Daphnia pulex: one gene and its partners. The protein of the gene in region 2 purifies or fractionates together with the protein of the main gene of each other region. This does not show direct contact. Links are inferred from orthologs where the notes say so. Each region holds a gene or a part of one and is shown on either strand. Other genes may lie near its edges.

Evidence for each region. The genes of interacting proteins can lie anywhere in the genome.
Region 1: the proteins of transcriptional adapter 2-alpha-like (region 2) and SAGA-associated factor 29-like purify together in Drosophila melanogaster (affinity purification with mass spectrometry, with the first as the bait; 3 studies listed by BioGRID). This does not show direct contact. The link is inferred for Daphnia pulex from reciprocal best matches to the Drosophila melanogaster genes Ada2a and Sgf29.
Region 3: the proteins of transcriptional adapter 2-alpha-like (region 2) and WD repeat-containing protein 5 purify together in Drosophila melanogaster (affinity purification with mass spectrometry, with the first as the bait; 3 studies listed by BioGRID). This does not show direct contact. The link is inferred for Daphnia pulex from reciprocal best matches to the Drosophila melanogaster genes Ada2a and wds.

The regions. Positions count from the first base shown.
Region 1 is NC_060019.1:9,072,380-9,075,839, forward strand, and holds SAGA-associated factor 29-like, read left to right. Parts: upstream 1-1,443; 5' UTR 1,444-1,563; intron 1,564-1,622; 5' UTR 1,623-1,720; coding exon 1,721-1,759; intron 1,760-1,821; coding exon 1,822-1,956; intron 1,957-2,016; coding exon 2,017-2,139; intron 2,140-2,202; coding exon 2,203-2,361; intron 2,362-2,427; coding exon 2,428-2,656; intron 2,657-2,737; coding exon 2,738-2,916; 3' UTR 2,917-2,944; downstream 2,945-3,460. Other genes in the region: uncharacterized protein LOC124191408, read right to left, coding at 3,018-3,158, 3,216-3,314. UniProt on the Drosophila melanogaster protein: Component of both the SAGA and CHAT histone acetyltransferase complexes, which both predominantly acetylate histone H3.
Region 2 is NC_060028.1:9,055,651-9,059,919, reverse strand, and holds the start of transcriptional adapter 2-alpha-like, read left to right. Parts: upstream 1-1,450; 5' UTR 1,451-1,801; intron 1,802-1,838; coding exon of another isoform or gene 1,839-2,102; intron 2,103-2,556; coding exon of another isoform or gene 2,557-2,679; intron 2,680-3,609; coding exon of another isoform or gene 3,610-3,847; intron 3,848-3,916; coding exon of another isoform or gene 3,917-4,043; intron 4,044-4,269. Other genes in the region: uncharacterized protein LOC124209580, read right to left, coding at 36-287, 1,839-2,102, 2,557-2,679, 3,610-3,847, 3,917-4,043. UniProt on the Drosophila melanogaster protein: Component of the histone acetyltransferase (HAT) complex ATAC; predominantly involved in acetylation of histone H4, including at Lys-6 (H4K5ac) and Lys-13 (H4K12ac).
Region 3 is NC_060023.1:11,642,758-11,646,793, forward strand, and holds WD repeat-containing protein 5, read right to left. Parts: upstream 2,786-4,036; 5' UTR 2,306-2,785; coding exon 2,210-2,305; intron 2,127-2,209; coding exon 2,030-2,126; intron 1,957-2,029; coding exon 1,793-1,956; intron 1,731-1,792; coding exon 1,641-1,730; intron 1,579-1,640; coding exon 1,439-1,578; intron 1,361-1,438; coding exon 1,210-1,360; intron 1,140-1,209; coding exon 1,059-1,139; intron 1,000-1,058; coding exon 912-999; intron 818-911; coding exon 717-817; 3' UTR 517-716; downstream 1-516. Other genes in the region: transcriptional adapter 1-like, read left to right, coding at 1-96, 167-332, 399-482.

The DNA.
Region 1 (3,460 bases), on a different chromosome or scaffold from region 2:
CTGCAAGAACATCAACATTACGTAAATATCACATTGAAATATGATGTTGAAGTGAATGTCTGCACAAGCTCCATTTGCGAAAATTCCATTTTGACAAGCTCCATTGCGAAAACGCGCCCTCAAGACATCTCGACTGGAAAATGACTGCAAAACCACTGCTCACACCATGAACGCTGCATCAACACCATTGGCAGCTCCAACATCAAACTAACCAAGAAATCCTGTAAATCAAGTTCAAAGGAAAACAATGAACCAATTACATTTTCAAATACAAGAAAGGGTTAATTTCTGTTTTATATTTAAAAAATACAATTCTATTGAGCAAATCTTTTCACAAAAGCTCTTAATTAGAAACATATAGTTGTTGTAAAATGTCATCTAAATCGAGAATTCAATGTCTGACCTGATTCCTGACAAAAATCACATGTGTAGCACACACTTTTAAAGTAGACTAAAATATAGGCAAATTCTAACCCACTCGAGTGTTCTAACAAGTTAAGTGCATGTCTGTGAAAGCTCTTGGCATAATTCAACTGGAAATTGAAACAATTTGCAAAACAAAACGTAATGAAGCTCAGGCTTTACTGCTCAACAGTTAATAGAAAAATTTAAATTACTTTTTGAAACAAAGTCACACAATTTTAATTCAGAAACAAAGTCTTGAATTAAAAAGTTAAGCAATAATTACTTTTTACTGTTCTGCATGGAACGAAACGTGCAACATTCAGCAAGAGACGACATTGTGGGAATGTACAGCAGGCCACATGCGATTACCAATTATGAATTGAAGACAATGTTACACGTTTTGAACCACACACAAAATTAAATTTTATAAAATTAAAGAATAAAAAATGGAATTACCATGTCTATGATCAACAATGTCACGTAAGAAAGTACCAGCAATGACTAAATTTTACCTTCTCGGACAGCGTCTCGACAGCAAAAGAAAGACTGTTCTGTCAGTCGTCTCAGGACTTTGACAGTTTGATGACCCATCCCCCTACACCCCTCTAGAAACAAACACACTAGAGCTGAATAGTTCAATCCCTAAACACGCTGAAATATTTAGCCACCTAGTGACAGCCCTGAGCATCCACGGACGACTAGAATGGGACGGAAAATAAACGAAATATTCGTCATCTCCGTGAAATACATTTAGTAGATAAAAAAAATTATCGAAAAATTAACAGGTGAGCTTTCTTGGTGGAATAGTTATCGTCAGTCATCACCAAAAAGTTACCACACAATGCCGATACATTTTTACAGGGATGTGCAAAATATTAAAATAACTGACTACAAAATAACTAAATAATTTGAGAGTTGAAAATGATCAAAGGCTATATAATAAAACCACTCGAAAAAAAGGCCTGATTTAGAAATTATTGCCATGGTTATACAATTTGAGCATGCTCATGCCATCTGCTAATGACGAATGGAACTAATACAGTTGATGCCATAGTTGCCATGGTGACGACAAAGCAACTGCCGATGTTACGATTTTCAATTTATTGTTTGGAAGGCTGATTTCCGATGACTGTTTTTAAACTCATCTTCATTAATTTAGTAAGGTTATTTTTCTGTGCATAAAAGATATGTAAATTTCAGAATTTAATTTTCTTTAGTTCTTGGTTTTCTTGGTGGCTTTTGCTTGGATTCCAGTCATCATTGCTGGTTTGAGCTCATCATTTAGGAGAGGTAGTTGTTATTAAACATATACATCATGGCTTTGTCATTAGATTCTGCCACACAGCAAGTCCAAGTAAGGTTGATATAATCAGTTGTTAAGGTATTTACTTAGTTCTAATTTGGATTGGGGTGCAGGAACGATTGAAGGGGATCTACAAGTTGGTCAAGCAGATTCAAGAAGAGAAAGTTCGTAATGAAGGTAACTTAAATGCTGTTATCAAAGCTCATGAAAAACTTCAGTCAGATGACAAAATTTCTCCATATCACAAGGTATTTCTATTCCCATATCACTAATTAATCAGCACTAATGAATGCCTATAAAATTATCAGTCTAAATTAAAAGGACTGTATTGCTCTGTGGTGGCTGATGCTGAAAAAGAAGAGGACCTTATTCGTAAGGCATTAAGCAAAATCTATGAAATTCGCGTTATCAGACATGAAAGGAGAATTCAGGTTATTCCCAAGAACGTAAACTTAGAAAATTTCACCTAACATTGTACTAACATTCTTGTTCAGGCAAAACAAGCTGGCAGTAAGGAAACTATAAGAAGAGGTGCTCTCATGAAAATGCTTCTCGTTACTGCTCAAACTCTCCCGCTGTGGATCAGTAAGTCAGGACAACAGCCACCAGCATTATGTGGAGCAGTTCCAGCTGACCCAACTTACGTTGCCAAAGTATTACATTATTCGAATGTCATAAACTGTTAATTGACTAACCGAAACACCTTATATGTATGTCAGCTGGGAGATATTGTTGCGGCTTTGGTAAAGAGTACAGACGGCGATGAGAATTGGATTTTGGCAGAAGTCGTTCAATATTTAGCTTCTTCTGGGCGCTATGAAGTGGATGATATTGACGAGGAACAGAAAGAGCGACACACTTTAAGCAAACGCAGAGTAATTCCTCTTCCTTTGATGCGAGCTAATCCTGAAACCGATCCCGATGCTTTGTTCTCAAAAGGAGCCACTGGTAAAAACAAAACAAAAAAATCGCAAATTTTAGCTGATCCGACGTTAGCATATTATTAACATACTAAACATTTGTTTTTAGTCATGGCTTTGTATCCACAAACGACCTGTTTTTACAAAGCGGTAATCAATCAATTACCCCAAACAGCTCAAGATGAATACCAAGTTCTTTTTGAAGATTCTAGCTATACTGAAGGATTCAGTCCGCCTTTGATGGTGGCGCAACGATATGTCATAGCTATCAAAGAGAAAAAGAAATGATTTCAAATACATTTGACCCTTTTTTCTATTCTCTCTTCTGTACAGCAGGATTTGTGTTTTTCACTACTTCTTCCAACCACGTATGAAACATGAAATAGAATCTAAATGGGGGAGTTTTTGAATCCGTAGTCGGCGTAGTCAGAAGGCTTCATTTTATCGGAAACTTTAGGGAAGTTCGGATCTCCTGGGTAAACTGCGGGTCTGGAGCCGAAAATTGCAAATCCTTTCTTGCGAGTCCAGTCCTAAAAGTTAAAATGTAGTATTTTGGGTGCTGTCCACTATTAGAGGCAAATACTTACATGAGAGTTGTACTTCAGATTGTAGGTAATTCCCAAAACCAGCCATCCAGCAAGAAGATATTTACCAACCCAATAGCGAGTAATCTGAGTTTTGTCGCCCTATGAATAAGAAAAAGAATTAGAACACAGATTTTATGAATTATGTAGTAGTCTCACAACCACAAAATGGACAGTTAATTAATTTTTAAAAGTAAAGTGTTTTAGTTCACATTACATCTGCTCGAACTAAATCGGGGAAATGTTAC
Region 2 (4,269 bases):
TAGAAAAAAAAAATATTTTTGATTTGTTTTATTACGTCTAGTTCGGGATAAAGGCGACCGATGGCCTCGAAGAGCGGAAGCAAAACGAATCCGATGAAGGAGCATTGGGACGACGGTTTGGTGATCTTGTCCCGGTCCATGAAAGGCGTGACGGGTAAGCCTTCCATTTTCTCGCGGTCGCTCTGCTCGAAGAATTCCTGCAGGAGGCAATCCAGCCACGGCTCGGCCACATCCATCGGCCTGGCTTCGTTCGAAATGTCCGACACTTTGATCAGCACCATGCACAGCTGCCCGTCATATTTGTCGCGTTCCGACATTTTTAAAAAAAAGAGCGGGAAAAAAAAGAGCGATGAGCGACATATCGATCTTTTCTTTGGCGACAAAATAGACAAGTCTGCATTTTTTAAGTTCATTTTCTACGACTTCCGGATGGAGAAAGTCGGATCATGGCGCACTCGTCTGTATTCTCCTACACGTTAGAGAATACGATTAAGGGAAGGGAAAGAAAATCAATAGCCGACGAAATTGTTCCCTGGAAAGGTGAGATGACAGTCAACCTCCCCGATTTTCTGCCGTTATACGTAAGTACACACAACACTGGAAAATGGCATTCAGAACCTTTAATTAATCTGCTTTTCTCTCTGTCGATTCAAGTCGACGATCATTACGCAATTCAAAACACAAAAGACCCCGGAATAAAACATGGCGTTAGACGGGGGTGAAAGCTGAGCATATGGGTCTTTTTTTGTTTGACTGCGCGTCTTTTGCAGGAGATTTGTTTGGCAAAGCTGCCGACGAGTCTTCTTGTGCTGCTCGTGATTCGTTTGATGTCTGATACAATCGGCAAAAGCCGTTTCATCATCCACTTGTCGAACGCGTGAAACAATTTCCGCTCGAGTTCCTACTGGCAAACTTATCACAGCTGGGAGCGGGAGCTAGCTCCTTTTGTTGAACCTGCTCTGGCACACATTAAAAACGAAATAAAAGGAGACGCGGAGGAGAGACTGGAAATCATTATAGAGTCGATCTATACAGACTCGAGTGTACATATAGACACTGCACGAGAGTCTATATAATATGTCTCATGCAAATGACGGAATTGTTTTGCTCTGGAAACTTTTCTTTTTGACACTGTCATTCATTTGAAATCGAAACGAATCATTCCAGCAGGAGTTGATCCCCTCCCTCCAAAATCGCATTAAACTTGCAGACGAAATTGATTTCGTTTACCAACTTGCCACTTTCCACCGTAGTTTACAGCTCGTGATTTTCCACTCGCACAAAGAGAAATGTCACACGATGGCACTCGAAACTTTTTTTTTTCTTATTTATTTAGGTATGGAAATGGTACCGAGAAACACCTTTTTTCGCTTCGATTTCATTTGAGTTGTGCCATTTCACGAAAATAGGCAACGTCGTCTGCACTTTGTTTTCTTCTTTTGTCGTTCAAGTTTTTGGGTAAATTCGTCTGCTCAAATTGACGACGTCGAGTTGGGTAATGGCGTTTATTCATTCTCTCTGCTGCTGCTGTTACAATTTCCGGAATTCTCTCCCGTCGACCAGCTGCGTGTGTCTACATTAATCAGCGTGCCGAGCTTTGACGTCAGACTTGATCAGACTGTTACACTTGTTACTCTCTACCTGAGCTCCAAAAGTGCGTCTACACCGACGAGTTTGATTGGTGCCCATGGAAACTGACAGCCACAAAGTGTTTGCAGGTGACGTTTAGTGCCCAGATCGCACTGGCCGGCCTTCATTTCCGGGACTCATCACGACGGGAAACTTTTGTCACCGATAAAAGGTAAGTGGCCCCACCTACACATGTGTCACACACTTACCAGATTGATGTGGGCTCGATTGTCGTAATCAAAGATGGGGGCGATTTGATTGAACTGGTTGAGGATCTCGTTGTGACGGGCCATGTCGGTCGCCAGAATGCAGCGGATGATTCCCTCGCGGACGCTTTTGTAGACGTCGGCCGTGAAGGATCGGAAAATGTTGGCCGTCGAATCTTCCAAAATGTTGAACGCCACCGAGCAGTGGTGATTTTCCAGCGGCGAAATGTCATTGTAGCGCAGGGCCAGCTCCGTCCTGGCGTTGATCTGTTGTCAGATTGGACTTGATTAGACCTTTTTAGTACATGTAGAAAAGTTTCTTAAATGTCTATACAGTAGACAGGCCGTTGTTTATTGACGGGGAGGAGGAGGAAGCCCGTAGGCGATGCACAAACTCTGTGTAGAATCGATTAGATGAGGAGGAGGTGTATATCAAAGCGAAATGTACACACACACACAAGTAAAGTCGAGGCTGCTAGCTGCTCAGTAATTAATGAAGGCTCTCGCTCTACCCCCCATCATTCTCTCGCCCGCTCTCCGTGTGACTGCGTGTCATTACGAATGTAATATATTCCCGGGAAAAGCACTTTTTTTCTTTCCATGGCCGCCACTCTGCCAAAACCGTCGCTGCTGCTGTTTAACTGCTAATGTGACGCCCCACTCTATCGGAAATATCAGCTCTAAATGAAATATGAAAAACGAGCGTCACAGCACGGGTTACCTGATAAATGTTGTTGAATCCCGGATGATCGAGGTCGTGGCATATGCAGGAAGTCAAGAGGATCAGCGTTTCCAGGTCGCCGATTTTGTCTGGTAAATCCAGGCACCAAATGATGCCGTACATCTGCAAGCGCACATAGAAAAGGAAGGAGTATATGCATGTCATTAAAGTTTCACTCGATCGCCCGTCATATGCTGATGAAGGACACACACACACACACATTTCAAATGGGCTTTTTCTTCATCACTTTGACATGCAAAGCGTCGGTACACAGGGGCGTCGAATTTCTTTGAATATATTTTTAGACGCGCAAATTTCGCCTCGGGGCATCCCCGCCATTTTTCTTGTTTTTTAATTAAAATTTGACGGGAAACGCTCACTCTCGATGATTAGACGTAGTGTACCAACTGCAAATCGATTTTGGGTTATTATTTCGAGAGTCTGAGTAAGTAAGTAGCTCTTCGCTCCTTTTACATAGTGCAGCAGGCGGGCAGGGGGCGCCTTGTTTGAACAATAACAACGGCGGCGCACTCTTGAACTATCGCTTGTGTAACGTATTCCCGACAAAGGAGAAAGTTTCATATAGAATCTGCGGGAGTATATTATACATGTATTTTGTGTGTGTGTGGGTGGGTGTACACACGCTACGTTGGGCGATTTCCCTCCTACTCTCGCTTGAGAAATTTCCAACGAGTTATTTCTTGTTTCTTTTTTTCCATTCCCGTATCTTTCACGGTGTGTTGCCAATTGTTGCGTGTATGTGTGTTTAGTTTTTGATCGCTAGAGACGATCGATGTAAAAAGATCACGCAGGTTCGACCCGACATGAGAGTTCGAAACAAACGATACGATCGTCTGTTCGACTATTAGACAAGCGGTTTTGTGTGTGTGTGTGTGTGTGTGTGTGTGTTAGCATTGCGGTTGACACGGCCATCATCTTTTTTCTTCTTTCTGTCGATCAATAGAGTAACCAAGGCCCCCCGGCGTTGTCTTGGCTGGGAGACCAGCAGCCCCCACACATTTTTGTCTGTTATGTTTGTTTTCGCCCGCTTACCATTTGACTGACGGTGAAGCAGTGCTGGAAATTGTGGAACGGCACCTCGTTGTAGTTCATGTAAACTTGACAGAGGAATTTGCGCAGGACGTCGAGGTCGATGTCGAATTTGCTCAGCAAATCCAAATCGACGTACATTTGCTGCAGGAGCAGCAGGATCTCCTCGTCCTCCCATTGCCAATTATCGAATGTTGGCATCCGCAGGCAGCGCCGGATCTCTTCCGTCAATGTCATTGTGCTTTTTTCAGAGAAAAGAAATTAAGAATTCGATTGGGCGGGAGTTTTGAATGTATTTGATGATTATTACCTGATGTAAAGATATTTCTCGCAGACGAGTCGTTTCTCCGACTCGGATTTCCGACGGGCTTTGTGTCTGTTCCAATAAGGACGGCCCATTCCAGCGTGCCGGAATGTGGTTCCAGCTCTGCACAACCCTGTTGAGTAATCAAACGATTTGCGGGATATTCCCGTTCAAGTTGATGATACCACCACAAAGAGAGCTCGATTGCAAACGGGGAAAAACCCGGTCGATCTATTTTCGTCTGCCGTGATTCCCTTTTTTTTAATTTTTATTTTTGGAAGAGAAGGGGAAAAATATTGGAGAGAATCGTGACGATCGGTAGCGGGCAAACTCATTGACTACGAGGCCATTACGCGGCC
Region 3 (4,036 bases), on a different chromosome or scaffold from region 2:
CCTTCGAGAGAACAAAGTCATCTATTCGGTTGGCCAACCTACAATTAATCCGTGGCTACACAATTCATGGTCCATCCAAGACAGTACCAGTAACAGGTAAATATTTATTGTACAGTCCTATTCTTTTTCAACAACAATGTTTCTAAGTGTTCTCATTTTAAATCAGTTATCTGACCGAAATTTCGCAAGCTGCGGAACCACCTCACGTTCCTGCCATACCCCAAACATCTCAGAAAGCAGAGCGGGATTCCGCATTCTACCTAGCGTGCACTACCGAACAAGTTACCGCACTTCAACCGATTTCCGTTCTTGACGTTTTTCAAACTTTACAAGTAAGTCGATATTTAATTTCAAAACTTCAAACTAATCCTCATGTTTCTTTATTGAATAAACAATAGGTTAAAAAGGGCGTCATTCCCTGGCACACAGTGCACGCCGTCAATATGGAACGCATTTCACAGCGCCTCTATCACCCCAATTAAACTCGAATCTACTTGCTTAAAGAAATTATAACGATTAAAAAAAAAGATGTTTGTATTGTCGACGAGGAGGCCATGAGAAGTCAAGAATGCCAGGAAACTTTTTTATACCAAGAAATTGCATTTTTTTTTCCTCAAAATTCTCCTATAAAGTACACACCTCAAAACTGCTTTTCATCGTCTTTTTTCCCATTATTTTTTGTTGTTGGTTCATTGCGACAAAGCTAAATGCGCGGTCTACGTGTCGGAACGCCAGAGCTTGATAGTCTTATCGTTCTCCAATGCAGCAGATGCGATGATATTATCGGTCGGATGGCATGCAGTACACAGCACGACATCTAGAATGAAACATGAAGGGATATAAGTTCGCGTGTGACGTCTAGACAAATTAAATGTGAAAGAAGGAGCAGGTCCCCCGGTAGGAAGCCTTACCGGTGTGTCCTTGAAGTTTCTGAACAATTTCCTTCGTTTGCAAGTTCCAAATATAAACCATGTTGTCTTCAGAGCCGGAAACGATCCACTGCAGAAAGAAAAACATGTTCAAGTAAAAGAATGAAACGTGGATTGTTAAAGCAGTACTTTTCCTCCAGTAACCGAAAAATTGGCAAAGATGCAATATTTCTCGTTTTTGTGGCCGGTGTAGGTTTTCAAGCATTTGCCCTGAAACGAGCCAAAGAAAAAAGAATGGTAAAATCTGCAAAAATCTTTAGAGTTGAATTCATGATGACACCTTGGAATAGTCCCACAACTTCAGTGTGTTGTCGAGAGTTGCAGCCAGGATGTATTTTCCGTTGGGTGAAAATTTGACAAACGAGACGGGAGGATTGTCATCATCGATCAGCGTTTTTAGGCACTGGCCGGAAGCCGTGTCCCAGATGCGGCTGTAAACAAGTGATCAACACCACCAATCGATAAAATTAAGAGGTCGAATTTATTTAGTAAAATGAACACGATTATACCAAAGGCCATCGTAGCTTGACGAAACGATAAGAGATCCGTCCCGGTTAAAATGAACCGCTGATACGGGATCTGAATGGGCAGGAAGGGTTTTCAAACATTTTCCGGTTTTGACGTCCCAGATGCGCACACTCTCGTCAAACTGCAAACAATTCAAAAAGGTCAATAGCCTATTTTAAAGAAGGCGAGTGGTTGAAAACTTACTGAGCCTGAGACAATCAAGTTGGATTGGGGATTGAAATTGCAACAGAAAACATAATTGCTGTGTCCTTTTAATGTCTTCAAACATTTCCCCTATAAGAACATACATGAATTAGAGATGAGCTAACATCACAAATAAATGGTTAAAGACTTACTGAGCTCAGTTCCCAGATCTTGAGGGTTTTATCATCACTGGCAGACACAAGCAGGCGGCTATCAGAAGACCAAGCTACATCTGAGATACCAAGTTTATGACCTGTGATTGATTTCTCAAATTTGCCATCATAGGCACCCCAAATCTTCACCAGTTTATCAGCAGCTATTCATGATAAAAAAATTATAACATTATTAGAAATATAATTCTCCTGAACATACACCATCAAAATATTTACATGAACTTGCAAGCCATTCTCCATTTGGGCTGAATTTCACAGCTGACACAGCTTTTGTGTGGCCAGCTAGGGTAAACTTGAGGGCATAGTTTGGCTTCTAAATACAATATTGAATTAAGATTACTTTTTATCCTAAAATGCTGTAAGAATTGAAAATTCCGGGTTGGAAGGGTTACTCACCAACCCCGATGCTGGCTTTGCTTGAAGAGGAGAAGTAGTTGAATTATTACTGTGGTTCTTAAAATCCTGATCACCTTTCATTTTATCATCAGCCATTTTGATTAAATAAGAAGTTGCCAACAGTATACTTGAATCTCAAGCACAATAGCGAATTTACAATGTTTTCCTGGACAGTGATGAGTGGACTCAACAGTCAGCTGCTACACTGGCACAGGATTGTTAATCAGTGTTTGGCAACTATCCAAACTGTATTAATATTTTTTGTTTTTTTTGCAAATTTTTCTTATGATTCGTAGACGGCCTCAACACCTTTCTTTTATTTAGTGTAAGGTACGCACGAGATTTGCCCAGCTGTGTGCCTTAATAATATTTTGCATTACAGGCACTGAACTGCGGTAATAAAGAACATGGTCGTTCTCTTCTTCTTCACCAACTGTCACAAGCAACACTGAAACACTCAACACAAATAGTGTAATAAGTGAATCCAATTAAAGTCGCCGTCAAAACGTGAGAATCCAACAAAACGCAACACTTAACATTCGTGACAACGCTTTCGGCAGCACGGGTTTACTACTCGTGTTGAGCCAAACGTCCACCAGATGGCGTCGACTTGATCAGCGACATCTATGATTAACTAACCAAGTTTAGACTGGATTCGCGCCAAGAGTTTGAAATTTAAAATCGAGTTTCCTCGTTCAGGTTTTATCTCATGCGCAAGCTTAGTGGAAATGGGGTGAACATGTTCATTTCAACCATAAGTAGTTCACTACTAATCTAGACGTATTTGTCGTTTATAACACAAGAGTAGTCATGTGATTTAATAGTAAACGGTAAAATGCTTTTAATCTAATGATCTAATTATTTGTTTTCAAAATATCAGCACTATGTCGTAGAGATTTAGATTCACAGATAAACGAGTAACGATGATCGGTACAACTCAAGTCATTCCATTCATGAATAAGGAGGGTTTCATTAAACGTTAAAACCCAAATTAGACATTCTTCTTGTGTACTTCCATGTACACGTGATGGTTCTCCCTCTTGCCAATTCATTTCTCTCGTGAGAATATCGCCTGTACCAGCCCACATCCAAGTTGATCGATTGCCGTAAAGACGATTACCGGATGTCAAGTATAATTGTTTTTGAACTAAATTTTGAAAATTAGATTTCATTCAATTATACTTTGTAAAGAACATTTCCGTGATCACCATTTTTTTTCTCTGCTTTGAGTTGTTTGGCTAAATTGTTTTCTTCTTCTTTCGTCTCAAGCGACAGCAATTCCATGCCGTACTGCCGGCAATAATGGAGAGCACTCCACCAGTTTCTCTGTGAAATAATTAGTGATGTAACCCAACAAGTGATTGAATTTCATTTAAATGAGACTGCTCTATATGTGTTTTATAATACATCTTCAGAGACGATGCAGTAGCATTCGCCGTTTACTTTCAAACAACGAAATTTTTTGGCCGTGAAATGTTTTGGGCAAGTTCCTTGTTACGCGAATTAAAAGATCAATTAAAGAAAGGTGAGTGTGAATAACTAAAAAGAAGTTAACCATTCATACCATGAATCAGGATATCGTTAATGTGATCCTCCTTTGAAATCTAATATTAACACAAAAAGAAAATTAATTTAAAAAACGACTAATTACAGATTAAATGATTTACCGTTTCAATCAGTGCAAAATATTCATCCTCGAGACTTTCAATTTCTTGTAAAAAGCTCGTGGATTCAGCACTAACAGGTGTAATTGGTACTATCACGCACAAACTGGCCATCAAGAAAACGATGAACGAGAAACTCAAAAAGTAGAAACAGTCGTTGGTT